Linked DNA regions of Stegostoma tigrinum. The protein of the gene in region 1 purifies or fractionates together with the protein of each later gene. This does not show direct contact. Links are inferred from orthologs where the notes say so. Each region holds a gene or a part of one and is shown on either strand. Other genes may lie near its edges.

Region 1 (7,371 bases):
CTTCACACTTTATTATCTCAGATTGTTGAGTAGTTGGTTGTCTGTGAGTATAAATTTTTTTGGTATATATGCAGAACATTTACATTGCAATTTACTTCATGGATCACAACATTAATGTATCAGTTGACTTCTGATATTATTGATTTAACTAAAATTACACAGGTATTTTTGTCACCAATCAAACACTTGTTTGTAGTTCAGTGTCACATTTCAAATGTCCTGATTTCCCTCATCACACGGTTTCTCACTAACCATCTGTCACATTCTTCAGTTTCTCATCATTGTTAATTTCATTGATTGATTTCATATATTTGTGCTTTTTGCCATCAGCAGTATAGCTATCCTATATGTACAGGAATCTCAGCGATGCAGTTAGTTAGAGAATCGTTATTGGTGAAAAGCTGAAGGATGAGAGCCATTGAATCTCTCAGAAGTTGCAGAATAAAATCCATGTTTCTGAAGAAATTGCACTGCACATATACAACTTCAAAAAACGAATGGTGGAAATTTGATCAGTGAATCACTGTAGGTGAAAAACAGCAAAGTGCGCATGGACTATACAGGATGACTAGAAGTATGAGGCATCGAACGGGCAAGATGAAGAAAAGGATGATAAAGAGTAGCCTGGGATTGCTCATGAAAGACTGGCAGCCTGACAAATTTGAAAATAAAGCTCTCAAGCATGAACCTGATAGAAACAGAAAGCTGGTTTAGTTAGACAAGATGCCTTGATAAAAGAGTTAATAAAGAAAGAGCACAGACATAGTTTCGGAATAAAAAGAAATATTCAGAAAATGTAATTGATACGTCAATGGGAAAGAAGGGAACTGTATGACTATATTGTATTTCATGACAGCTTAAAGCACTTCATAACCTTGAACTAGTTTTGAAGTGTGGTCACTGTTATTACATTAGGAAATGCATCAACCAATTTATTCACAGAAAGGCGCAGAAAAGAAAATAAATGACTTTTTAATCTGTTTGGTGAATAATATTTGAAGGATAAATGTTGGCTACAATAAACGGTTGGAAATGTTTGCCTGGAAATTCCTGGGGGCTCATTCACTCCTGTAACTGTGGTAGAGTGGAATTTATGTCAAATAAATTGGAGAATTTCTGACAGTTTCTATGTTCAGCTACTAAGGGCAAGACCTCTGTGCTTAAAAGAGCTTCATGGATCTAAAAGGCTAAGCCAATTCTTAGAAAAAGGACTAAGCAACTTGAGCCAAGGAACTGGAGAATGAAATTGGTGACTTCATTGTTAGATTTCCAGGAAATAAGCATCACACCTCACAGTAAACGACATGAGAAAGCGATAAAAGTGGCTGAGAGTGATCAGTTCATATACCTGGAGGACTCTCTTAAAATGGTGGAAGAAGTTTAATAACTTCATAGATCAAAGGCAAGAGTATTTAAAGATGAATGGTAAGATAGCTAATAAATTGCAGGAATGCAAAATAGCATTCTATAATCACAGCAGTCAAGGATTTCTTTTTTAAAGTAGCCAAAATAACATCAGACTCCTTGCCACGTGTATAACGTCACTTGACAACATTTTGTGTCTCACATGCTGTTATTAATGTGAGCAATATCCAGCTAAATACTTCCCATTATTTCCATCATTAATTCTGATTGTGAGTGTAGGATCTGGAGATTGCAGCAGCCAATTGACATTATTTATTCATTCTGCAGAAGGTAGCACACAATGTACCAACATCTGGCATATGGCACCAAATAAAGAGAAAGTAATGGTCATAATTGGCTTCTACTTTCAGCTGGCAATTGAGGATGTAAATATTCCTTTGGTGAGTTGGAAAGAATCTGCCCTTTTAAAACATTTGTATGGTTTATTCATTATTATTTTTCAGCTACTGCTTCGGTTGTAAGAAATCCACATAGTAACTGAAAAGAAAAATGGTTATGCCATCACCAAATTTAATTATGCTGTTCTTTCCTCTTAGAGGTTGCTAGACACAAAATCCTCTCCATTGTAAAACAACTCAGAGTCATATAGCTGAGTTGGAAAATATCAGGACTTGAAATGTGACATGACACAAAGCACAAGGAATCTAAAGGTTTCAGGGTGTGCTAAAAGGAACAATCTGACTTAACAAAAAATACAACATGTAACTTCTGATCAGACAGTATGGACAGAATGATGCCACTAAAGCATTAGGCATCTTTGAAGTTTCTGAGTGACCTCTATCAGGATGTGTGACAATCGACAGTACTTGTTTAACAGTGGAGTTCTGTGTGCCAATGCAATGTTGCCAACAGTACAGGTTCCATTCCCATACCAGCTGAAGTTACTATGAAGGTTCCAGTTTCTCAACCCTTCTCTAAACCCTCACCCATGCCTGAGGTGTGGTGAAACCACCAATGGTTGTCTTTCTCTTTGAGACAGCAGCCCTATGGGACGATGGTGACTTTGTCAGTTAAAAATCAGGATTGAATTTTTTGTAAATAGTTGCATGAAAAGACTGATTTTTTAAAGATATATATTCACTCATGGGACATTGACATCACTGGCTGAGCAAGCATTTGTTGCCAGTACTAGTTGCCTTTGTGCTCCCTTCCTGAGCTGCTGCAGTCCATGGGCCAGGTAGTCCATTTTCATTCATTTTCTCTTTCTAGCAGTTGATACAAGGGAATGACCTGTTAGGCCATTTCAGAGGCCAGTTAAGAGTCAACGACATTGCTGTGGGTCTGGAGTCACATGTAGACCAGAGCAGGTATGATGGCAGTTTCCTTCCCTAAAAGATGGTGATGAACCAAATGAATTTTTCAAACCAAATGAACAATTGACAATGGTTATCAGTAGACGCTTAGTTCCAGATTTTTATTGAATTCAAATTCCACCATCTGCCATGGCACAATTTGAACCTAGTCCCTAAAACACTACCTCGCTGTATAATAGTCCAGTAATTCTCATCCATTATGTTCCCTCAGCTTGGTAGCAGGTTCTCTTGTCTGACAATGTACTGGTAACGTTCTGATTTATAGTTCAGGATTAGGATGCTGGAGATTTATCAAATTCTATAAATCGAGATGCCCTGGGAAAGAGATAACACGCTATGAAGCTGGATGAACACAGCAGGCCAAGCAGCATCAGTGGAGCAGGAAAGCCAACCTTCTAGACCCTTCTTCAAAAATGGGGGAGGGGAAGGGGATTCTGAACTAAATAGAGAGGGGGAGGCGGATTGAAGATGGATAAAGGAGAAGATAGGTGGAGAGGAGGTAGACAGGTCAAAGAAGTGGGAATGGAGCTCGTAACGATGAGTGTACGTGGGGAGCTAGGGTGGGGATAGGTCGGTCCAGGGAGGACGGATAGGTCAAGGAGGCGGGATGAGGTTAGTGGGTAGGAGACGGGGACGGGGCTTGAGTTGGGAGGCGGGGACAGTTGGGAGGAATGGTTAGGGAGGTGGGGACTGGCTGGGCTGTGGTCGCGGGAGCGGAGATTTTGAAGCTTGTGAAGTCCACATTGATCCCCTTGGGCTGCACGGTCCCTGGGAAAGGCAATGTTAGGGTTATGTCTTTGAAGACGACACAGCTAATTGACCAATTTCACAAAAATGCCCTGTGCCTCCTCCGAATGAGGCAGTGAGGTAAATGTCATAGTCTGTTTTCCTGCCACGATGCTCTGGACTTTAACGGCAAATCTGGCTGCATTAGCAAAGTGAACATCCCTGACGGCTAATAACTGAAGCACAACCTGACAGCAAGCTCTGGGAACAGGCCGACAAAAGGGAAGACGGATCTATAACATGAGGGTGACCGTGATGCTGCCTGATCAGTCTCATTCCGCTTCTCACTCTATAAACGACAGCAATCAGATGCATTGTATTAGTCATTGGAAAATTCGCTATCTTTTTTTTCTTATTTTCAGTGTCAACTCCCCCTTTCAGAGTTTGAAGTCGCCAAACCGTAAAAGAAATGTCATTTCAACACGGAAATGGTTACAGTTGCCCAAGTACTGTATACAGACAATGTATAGGTGAAATTAAAGAGTTTTACTGATATTGAAGGGACCTGCTCCCCGGCAGAACTGTTTTAGGAGGATGAGTAGGTCCTTCGATTTCACCCAAAGTAGATGAGGCAGCACACTGTATATTCCTGCACTGCAATTTTAATCCCCTCCAGTTTGGGGGCCTTTGGCTACATCTTCAAACGGACAGCACTAAACTCAGGGAGGTGTCAATTGCATAAATTTAAATAAAATCTCTTTTAGCGAAATTGAAAAGCGGGCTGAAGAGGGAACTTCATTAGAAGTCAATAAATAAAACATTCCCCTTTAAATGAATGGTTTATGTTATTGACTGTCGTCACTGGAGGGTGGGTGTTCAGTGAAGGTGTGGCTCTCTGTTAGAAACATTCGAGTCTCTCATCATATGAAAACCAGTTCTTCAGTCCCTCAGCACGCTAACACCGAGCCTGCCCCAGGACCTAGAGCCTTCATTCATTTCACTTCCGTTGCAAAAAGGTAACATGATGCGTAGAATTAGAAATCATAGCCGCAAAATTGTGTTTATCTTTGTTTAAAAAAACGCAATTGTAATTCGGAACGACTTCTAATTTACAACGACTTGTAATTTGGATATGATGCAGTGAAGGTAGGGTAAATCTATTGGAAATAGATCCATGGGTTTGAGAATTGTGAAGAAAATGATACGCGGAGACGTTTGCTCGGCTCGGGAGTATTTCATTCATCGTGTTGCAGCCCCTGCTCACATTGCATTGCCAAAAGCAATTGATGTTGTAGACGGAGGCAGAACAGAGGCCGGCGAAATCGGTTCTTTGATTTTATTTGGCCCCCGCCAAGGATGGTAACTTGGCGGAGTTGATTCGGTGCAGCCTGCCGGAGAGAGAATGGGATGAGTCTGTTTGGGTTTGTATGCAAATTTCAGCAAGCGGGCTGTGTCTGCTCAGCCCACTGCGTCTGTGTGCCGCAAATACAATAACATATACATAGACATTCAGACACCAGCAGACACGAATGCAAACACACACACACACACACACACATGGAAATGCTTCGAACGTAAACATAAACACAAGCCCAGCGACTGGACAGGAGTTTATTTCTCGATCTACGATATAACGCAGTCTGATGCTGCAGTCTGCGCTACGTTTGGTCTGCTGCAGTCTGTATTCGTCAAGTTTCATTGCAAGGTCATTTAATAGTGTAACCTGCGACCCCATCCCAAGCCCCTCCTTTTAGTTTGCTTGACCCACGCCTCTCAGGTTTTATGGATAAGATCCGAAATGGTTTCACATTGGCTTCGTCTCATTTCATATTTGATACAGAGGGAATGTTACTGACAATGACATGACTCCCCATAACTGCCTTATTTCTGTGTGGCAGACGCGAGGTTGAGAGGATGGAACCCAGCCCTTGTTGAGGATGATGGTCTCAGACGGGATGTTGCAAGTGTTGATATAGAAGAGGTTGTGATGGGGAGACGCAGCTTGCTGTCGGGGGGCGGCTGAAGGACACGATGTTACTGATCCAGCTGCACCTTTGTCTTTCAGCATCCCGTGACTGTGGGGAAACGCGAGCGTCAATCTTGTTACCGGCTTATTAAAGAAAATGATTCACCCCAGGTTATGTCAGAGTGATGCAACAGGAATTATCGAGTAGCTCAGTCTAATACCTGCCAGCGTGTGCGTTTCGCATTTCATTTTAATTCTGCACACTGACAGAATGCCCACAAAATGTTTTACCAGTCAGCTGGTATAATGCGGAGGTGGGTTGGCTCCTTTGAGTCAGATTGCTGTGGCGGGGGCTATTGATTTCCTGGGGCCAGCTTGATGGACATTGAGGAGTAATTTGTTTGATTCCTCTCCAAAGAGGTAGCTGAGGTAAAAATATAAATCATCTGAAATTGTGGAGTCGTCTTTCTGGATATTTTGATTACTGATCTTTTTTACTTAAATAAGAGACAAGTTGGGAATATTATGTTGCAACAAAAAGAAAGTTGCTGGAAAAGCTCAGCAGGTCTAGCAGCATTGGAGGAGAAAACAGAGTTAACATTTCGGGTCCAGTGACCCTTCCTCAGTTTATGTATTAAGTTGCAATGTTCTGCCTTAAAGCCATAAAGCGCCATCTCGAACGGCCAATCCCACATTTGCATGGCCCCGCTGACTTCTCAGATGTTAATACGAAACATTTTGGCGTTGGCTGCGATTGATTTGGCATTTATGCAAGTTTTCAGATGAGATCTCAATGTAGCATTGTGTGACGATTGCAATGCACAAACATTAAGAAGCCTGCCAATCATTAATTCACCCAACTTCTTTCTAATACAGATTTACAAATACCTCTGTATTTTAGGAATTTGAGTCCTAGTGATAATTATGGTTAAGTGATTGTGCTACATACAGGTCGATTAACCCTCCCTGTAACATGTACATTCTGATGATATCTAACACCCCTTAATTCATCAAATATTGATACAACTGATAGACTTTTTCGACACAAACTCTATCCACAAATAAAATCAGTTGTTGAAGTCTAATATTGCTGGAAATTTCCTTGATGGGGAATGCTCCAGAAACTATAACTAAGTAATCCTGATACCCCAGTGGAAATTCACTTCATATATTTTTATTTTATTGTGATGACTGATGGGCTGGGGTAGCATTTCTCTGTGTTTTAAACTACACACCAATCCTTCATAAATGATGTTATTGTATGAAGTACTGGTGGACCATGTTTTCTGCTGAATGCTGCTGTGCAGAAATGGTGGATCAAAAAGAATTTGTGAAGTGCTGTCCATTTCTTATGATCCACTTGGAGTTTCTTCATAGACATGCAACTTTCTCCTTTTCAGATATACATGTATATTTGACCATAAGACGGTGGAGTAGAATTAAACCATTCAGCCCATTGAGTCTGTTCCACCATTCAATGAGATCATGGCTGATCTGAAAATCCCCAACTCCATATCCATTTCCCTATAACCCTTGATTCCTTTATTGATTAAAAATCTACCTCAGCCTTGAATATGCAAAATGACTCAGCCTCAACAGCCCTCTGTGGTAAAGATTCCATACACCAAATGAACTACGAACAAGATAATTGTGGTGAGCAGTGACAATGGGAACTGCAGATGCTGGAGAATTCCAAGATAATAAAATGTGAGGCTGGATGAACACAGCAGGCCAAGCAGCATCTCAGGAGCACAAAAGCTGACGTTTCGGGCCTAGACCTTTCATCAGAGAGGGGGATGGGGGTGAGGGTTCTGGAATAAATAGGGAGAGAGGGGGAGGCGGACCGAAGAAGGAGAGAAAAGAAGATAGGTGGAGAGGTAGGGAGGGGATAGGTCAGTCCAGGGAAGACGGACAGGTCAAGGAGATGGGATGAGGTTAGTA
Region 2 (7,736 bases), on another chromosome or scaffold:
CCACAACATGTCCATGTACTAAGTCAATGTTTAATACAACTCTATGTAGTGGGACTGGTTTGTAGCCTCCACATATACCTTCACTCAACTTTTTTTCCATCATTAGCCAGACTGGAGGATCGGTTATATCATCACCAAGCATTAACAATGGACTTGCTCTGTGTATGTTAGTATCATGATTAGTTTACCTCTTCGAATAGAAGCATGAGGAAATACATCACCATTTAAAATAAAATGTTAAGAACGTTCCAATAGTCTGATTTTCTTTATCACTAATTGAGGAACTTTTTTTGACATTTCTGAGACATCTCCCTTGCCCTGTCAGAGAGAACACTCTCCATCTCTACCTGCTACAAATATAAGACTGATTCAATTTATTGATACATCCCCTTTCTGAGGATTCCCTTGGTGTTGCTACTACTGCAATAAGTCTCCCATTAACTTCCAGTAATTAGATTTATTATGTAGCATCTTATTACACTGGAAACAAATTATTTTCTTTCTATCATTTGTGGTTCTGGCCTTTCTCTTTTTTTTTCCATTTTGTGTATTTGTGTGTGTCCACTAAAACATTTCCATCCCAGATTTTCCATTCCTCCAATTTCTTCATTGACTCCCCTTTGACCATTTTACCACTACAGCTGCTTCTCTGAGGTATTATAGGTGTCCACAAGAACTGAAACTTCTAGCATCTTTAATACTTGTTGCTCATCTTGATAAGCGTTAAGGGTTTTCAAATAATACTTCAGAATTCTTCTATATCAAAATTTCCCTTAGAATGTCATTTTCCTCTCTGAGTTCAGTGATTGAAACCAATGATTCCCAGAGTGTTTATTTTTCTCTCGTACATTCTAGAAATGCCTGATTAGGTTAGTCCTAAGTATTAATTATTTGGCTTCATGGAGAAGCTCATAATAATAGAGTATTACTCTTTTAACAATTTAGTAGTTACGGATTGTTCTTCAGATAAAGAAGACATTCATATTTGCACCAATCAGGACACTTTGAGTAAAGTCCAAACATCTATTGGTGAGTTCAACTTCAACTATCTTTTCAAATGGTATGTAATGTCTTCAAACTCCATGTCCTGTAAATTTAGGCAGTATTGCAAATTTCAAGGTAAAGCAAAGCCCTCATTAGAGTCAGAATTAACTCCTATACTAATACCTCTTCCTTTTTCCTTTACACTAAACTCTGTCTGACTTCCCTTTGAGTTCAAGCTTTTTCAATTCCATTACTCCATCAATCGTTTTCTCCACTCTTTCCATTTCTCTTTGTTTATCTTTCTCCTCACTTTCGAATTCAAGCTTTCTTGTTTCTAGTTGTATTTTTTTTCTTTCCTTCTTCCCACTTTCCATGATCTACACATTCCATTTTTCTATTCTCCTCTTTTTCTCCTAATTCAAGGTTCATTTCTATCTAAATCTTGATAAATTTAATTCCAGGTTTCCCTCCTTTTAGTTCGAAGTGCTAATTATTTGTTCAATCATTGCATCCTTAAATGATCCTGCTTTTAATTCTACCTTCAACTTGTCTGCTTACTCTCTCAGTTTAGCCTCGATGAAAGATTTTTAAATTGACAATGCTACACTCCCAGAAATGTCTTTGCAACAGTCAACTCAAATTTCAATCTATGTAATGTACCTCAGAACAACTTTCGATTCTATACTCAGTCTCTTTTTTGAAAGCAGGACGTAAATGTTCTGCAAAGCAGTCAACCAGTCTACACTTTCTTACCGCAATGTAGGGAGACCACACTGTGAGCGGCGAATGCAGTACACTAGATTCTGGGAAGTGCAGGTGAAGTGTTGCTTCACCTTAAAGGTATGTTTGGGTCCTTGGATAGTGGTGTGGGAGGAGGTAAATGTGCAGGTGTTACACCTTTGCTGTTTGCAGGGAAAGATACTGTGGGGCTGTTGGGGGGGTGCTTGTGGTGGGGGGGGGTGTGGTAGTGTTGGGTGTTTAGGAAGAGTGGACTAGGGCATCCCAGAGCGAACAGTCCCTGCAGAAGATGGTCAAAGGAGGGGAGGGGAATATGTGCCTGGTGGTGGCATCTTGCTGGAGGTGGCAGGAATGGGCCTGATGATCTTCTGGGTGTGGATGCTGGTGGGATGGTAGGTAAGGACAAGGGAACTCTATCACTGTTGCGGGAGAGGCGAGATGGGGTGAGGGCAGAAGTGCGGGAGCTGGGTTGGACGGGGTTGAGGGCCTTGTCAACAATGGTGCTGGAAAATCCTCAGTTGAGGAAGAAGGTCGACATTTTGGAGGCTCCCTTGTTGAAGTTGGTCTCATGTGAACATATGCAACAGGGACAGAGGAACTGAGAGAATGGGATGGAGTCTTTACAGGAAGCAGGTTAGGAGGATGTATCGTCCAGGTAGCTGTGGGAGTCACTGGGCTTTATTGCTATAACTCATTTCTTCCTACCTTGACTCAGTCTTCTCTCCCTGGTCCAATCCCAGCCCATGTACATCTGTAATTCCTCTGACACTTTACACAAGTTTCAAAACTTCCAGTTTGCAGGTTTCAGCAGCCTCCGCTTTATCATGGATGTGCCATTCCTTTACACATCCATTCCCCACCAGGAGGGTCCTAGGGCTCTCTGTGTCTGTTCCACTTGAACACCGTCCTGTTCCTTGGCCAACATCTCTGTCTCTGACTTGCTGCAGTGTTCCGATGGAGCTCAATGCCAGCTGGAAGAACAACACGTCACTTTCCATTTGAGGACCCTGCAGCCCCCCGGATGCAAAATTGAGTTCAATAATTGTAGGGCCTAACTCTCCCATGTCGTAGCCCCTTACCCTGCACACCAGACCTTGTTCTCAAAGAGCCTCCATTACACACCACCTCTTGTTAGTCACTAACAATCCCCATTAACAGTTATTCACCCTCATAGCCAGATCGTTATCAACTCTTTTGTCTATTCCACTGCTCTTCTCTCTCTTCAGGCTTAAACCTTTATCCTATCGTTTACTCCCCACTCCATCACCCTCCCTACTTTCTACATACAAATCGACGTTTTCCCAGCTCCCATCAGTTCTGGGGAAGAATCACCGGACCCAAAACATTAACTCTAATTTTTAATTCACAGATGCTGTCAGATCTGCTGAGCTTTTCCAGAAACTTCTGTTTTTGTTCATGATTTACAGCATCTGCAGTTCTTTCAGTTTTTATTTGGTGCTGCTTTCACCTGAGAGTCACATGGTTCCGGCAGGTTGAGAAAGAGAGTCCTTACATTGAAGGCCTTTAATCCACAATATTGGCATCACAAACCAGCCATCCAGCCCACACAGCTAACTGACAAGCGTATGATGTACTTTTGAGACATTTAGTCCTGTTTACAATTTTGACTTCCTTATTTAAGAAAGAAGGATATACTTGTTTTAAAGCAAAATATTGCAGATGCTGGAAATTTAAACCAAAAATTCAAAATACCAGAGAAACTGAGCAGGTCTGACAGCTTTTGTAGACAGAGAAAAAGGGTTAACGTTTTGGGTTCAACATGACTCCAGCTTCTGAAGAAGTCAGTACAGACTCAAAACATCAATTCTGCTTCTCTTCACAGATGGTGCTGGACCTGCTGAGTTTCTCCAGCACTGTCTGTTCATAGTTACACAATTGCTCTTCTGTGGAACCCAAAGATATAGTTACATTGGAAGCAGTTCAGTGAAGGTTTATTTGACTGATTCTTCTTAGGAGGAAAAGTTGAACACATTGGGCATATATTCATTGACGTTAAGAAGACAGAAAGGTGTTATAGTTGAAACATATAACACTTTGACAGGTTGCACACCGTGAGGATGTTTATTTCTTTTGCGGGAGGCTAGAACTATAGGGCACAGTTTAAAAGCAAGGGGTCTCCCATTTAAAGCAGAGATGAGGGATTTCTTCTTTCAGAGAGTTACTGTTCATGGAATTCAGACTGCAGTGGATACTAGCTCACACCTGCTAGATAGAGTTTTGGTTGACACAGGAATCAAGTGTTACATGTCAGAAAAGAATGTGTCGTTATGGCGACAGTTGGATCAGATGATCTTCTTGAACAATTAATTCCTACTTGTTAGGTTGTTTTGGCTCACAACCTATTTAAGTCAATGATAACACAGTGTGGAGCTGGATGAACACAGCAGGCCAGGCAGCATCAGATGAGCAGGAAGGTTGACGTTTCTGGCCAGGACCTCTGAAGAAGGTCACTGAAGAACTTTCCTACACCTCTGATGCTGCCTGGCCTGCTGTGTTCCTCCGGCTAAACACTGTTATCTCTAACTGCAGCATCGGCAGTCTTATTATCTCTACCTAAGTCAAAGTTCTGGTAAGACCAATCCTACTTTTTTTCCCAGTTTTTAGCACACATTCCAATGCCTTTAAAATATTTACAATCTTATTGGGATATTCGCAATTAACCTGCTCAGTGATGTTGTAAATACCCTTGAAACAGGTAGGACTTGCCCTTGGGTCAATTGCAGGAGTACCGCACCACGTGGTTTCATGGGGGCGTGGTTACAGCTTTAAGCGTTGCTGTGGCAACGGTAGGCGGGACCGTACCGCCGACAACCCTTGTCTGATTGGCGCTTTGTTCCCCAGATTCGCTTCCCTATTGGTTCGCTGTAACCACCAATGAAATTACACGTGCGGCCTTCCGCTCTGGGCTGACTGTGAAGGTTGAGCGAAGCGATGCCGGTCGCCGATAATGGCCGGGTGGTTGTGAGAGTGAGTGAATGCTCGGAGAGACAAACAGTCACCTCAGCCTGGTAATGGTGGTTGGATCTGTTGTGTTTCTTTGCACCTTTGCTATTTTATTTTGGAGTGTTTGTGATGGACGGTGCCATGGACCATAAAGCGCATGCGCAGATGCAAGTGCTGGGATCCATCCTCTTCCCCTCCCCCCTGTCCCCTCCTCCTATACTTTCCCCTACCCCCACCCCCCTTCCCCTTCTTCCTCCTCCTCCTCCTCTCCCCCCTCCCCTCCTTACCACCCTCAACCCCTGCTCCCCCTCCCCATCTCATCTCTCATCTCTCCACCTCTTTCTCCCTATCCCTCCTTCCCCCAACCCGATTCCTCCACTTCTCACAACCACCGCCCCCCGCCAACCTGTTTCCACTGTTCTACTATGCATTTAGGCAGGCATGGTTCTAGTTGTGATGGATTCCTTGCTTTCAGAACTTTTTTTTTAAACATAGCCTAATTGAAAAGTCTTACTACTCCAGTTTCTAAAGAAATTAAGACTGAAATTAGTTTAGGAACTTCTAGGAGACTGAAACTAGTTGCAACCATATAAAAGGATATTGAGCCACCACAGGTCAGATAATCCTTTCGGTACAGTTCAGACAGGCTGAAGAAGGCAAAAGTGAGATGCAGAAATTGTGGATAGGCAGGTATGTACATGTACAGTTTTTGTGAAGCTGGTTGTGCAATTTTGATAGCTAGCGATCTGGCTACATCCCAGAAAATGATGAGCTGAAATTCTTTGTGGGAATTTGTGACTGAGGTTTTCATATGTGCTGAGTGGACAGTCAAGCTAAACTGCAAGGCAATCCTTTATACCTGGTGTTTAAGATGTAGTTCCTCATTTATAACTGATCACAATTTGTTTATTCATGTTTGATTTGTGTTAATTCTAGATTTTAGAGGATAGGCATTACCTGAGATGGTATTGCTTTGTTTGCCTCTCAAAGTCAAAAACGTTACTTTGTTTTAAACAGTGGACTTCTGTGGCCTTGTTCTTTTCATTAAATAACTGATATTTGAAATTCCTTCTTCTCTAACTCCTTTGTTTAGAAAATCCTGACTAAGGTTTTAATAAGGATTTACTTTTCTTCACTGGGGGTTTCATTTGTCTGATTTAGTTCACACATCTTGAGCCTCAAGCTTGTTTGTTCAAGCCCTAGTTTAGAGATGAAGGCATGTAATCTGGGCTGATGCACTCATGCAGTACTGACTGAGGGCATAACCGCCAAAAATGGTGTTTCTGATATGATGTGAAACCAAGGCCCTATCTGCACTGAAATGGAGCAGAAGATCCCACAAGTTTCCAAGAAGACCTTGAGTTTTCCTCTATCAATACCACAAAAACAAACATTCGTCTCTTTACCTCCCTGTACCATATTCATCTGATTATGTGATTTTGATACCTGGTTCTTTCACGTACATTAGCCATTTCTACCCAGTAACAAAAAGAGAGTATCTTACTGGAATTACTGATTCCATAAAGCTTAGGCAAGTTTAGTAAGTAAAGATTTGATTGATCTAGGGGGTAATGTTCTGGGATAGAAATCTCATCTCTGGATGTGATGACCAGGGAGATGTGTCTCGTCAACCTGTTTGGATGTGTTAATGAACAGAAAAGGCTTTATTTGTGAAATTATTAGGAGTGGCCAGCAGGGGGCTGAAATTAAAGCAATAAAATGTCTCGGAAAACATTTTGTTTCAAAGCAACACGTACAGCCCAGCAGAGATTTACCATAAGAAAAACTGATCAATTAATGATTTTTTTTGGTCAGGCGTCATCAGGAAAGTTACAATGGAGGGGACAAAACAGTCAAGGGTCTCTCGTCCTCATAAGATCAGTGAATCGTCAAAGGTTAGTGTAATATCATTCATGAAAATGAGCATCTGATATTGTTAGTGTGTAATGAGAGAATTCTTGAATTGTATAATATTATACTTGTTGAAATGTTTCCTCATCTATATGGCTCCAGCAAGAAACATTTTATAGTTTGCTTACTCAACAAAGCTTATTGAGATTTCCTCGGGGACCATGGGTTTAATTTTGATTTGAATTGTTATTGTCACATGTACTTGGGTACAGTGTAAAGTTTTGTTTTGCCTACAGTACAGATAGATCATACCATACAGAGATCATAGGCTGATTGTATGTCTCGCCCTGTTCAAAGTTACAGCTGCAAAGAAGGTGCACAAAAAGCAAGATCAACATTAGATTTGAAATTTGAGAGGTCCATTCAGAAGTCTCGTAACAGTGGGGAAGAAGCTGTACTTGAATCTATTGGTACATATGCTTTAAGCTTTTGCATATTTTGCCTGACAGAAGAGGTTGGAGGAGATTATAACCGGGGTGGGAGAGGTTGGCTGCCTGCCCAAGGCAGCGAGAAGTGTAGATGCAGTCAATGAATGGAAGGTTGGCTTGAGTGATGGCCTGGACAGTGTTCGCAATTCTTTGTGGTTTCCAATGGTCCTGGGCAGAGCAGTTGCCATACCAAGCCATGATGAATGCTGATAGTGCTTTCTTTGGTGCATCCGTAGAAATTGGTGACTGTCCTTATGGACATGCTGAATTTTGATATCCTGAGGAAGAAGAGGTGTTGTAACTTTTTGACTGTTACATCAAAGTCGGTGGCCCAGGACAGGATTGTTGATCGCCACTGTTGGGAATTTGATACTCTCGCCCATCACCACTTCGGCTCCATCGATGTAGATGAGGGCGTGCCATCCTCCTTGCTTCCTGCAGTCGATGATTGGCTCTTTCGTTTTGGTGATGTTTAGGGAGAGATTGTTACCTCTACACCACACAACAACACCAAGCTCTCCCTCTGATTCCTGTATTGCCTCCTCAGTGTTTGATATCTGGTCTACAATTGTGGTGTCGTCAGTGAACGTGTAGCTGGAGTTCAGATGAAATTTGGCCCGCAGTCATGAGCATACAGGAGGTATAGTAAGGGGCTCAATATGCTGGTGCTGATTATCATGGAGAAAATGCTGTTGCCTGTCTTCTCTGATT

Evidence for each region.
Region 2: the proteins of slc6a15 (region 1) and klhl36 purify together in Homo sapiens (co-immunoprecipitation; 3 studies listed by BioGRID and IntAct, counting the BioPlex papers as one, with this or other methods). This does not show direct contact. The link is inferred for Stegostoma tigrinum from reciprocal best matches to the Homo sapiens genes SLC6A15 and KLHL36.

What each region holds. Positions count from the first base shown.
Region 1 is NC_081371.1:41,943,538-41,950,908, reverse strand, and holds the start of slc6a15 (sodium-dependent neutral amino acid transporter B(0)AT2), read left to right. Parts: upstream 1-4,340; 5' UTR 4,341-4,480; intron 4,481-7,371.
Region 2 is NC_081369.1:49,020,856-49,028,591, forward strand, and holds the start of klhl36 (kelch-like protein 36), read left to right. Parts: upstream 1-4,634; 5' UTR 4,635-4,718; coding exon of another isoform or gene 4,719-4,751; intron 4,752-4,971; exon of another isoform or gene 4,972-5,376; intron 5,377-6,501; 5' UTR 6,502-6,521; coding exon 6,522-6,581; intron 6,582-7,736.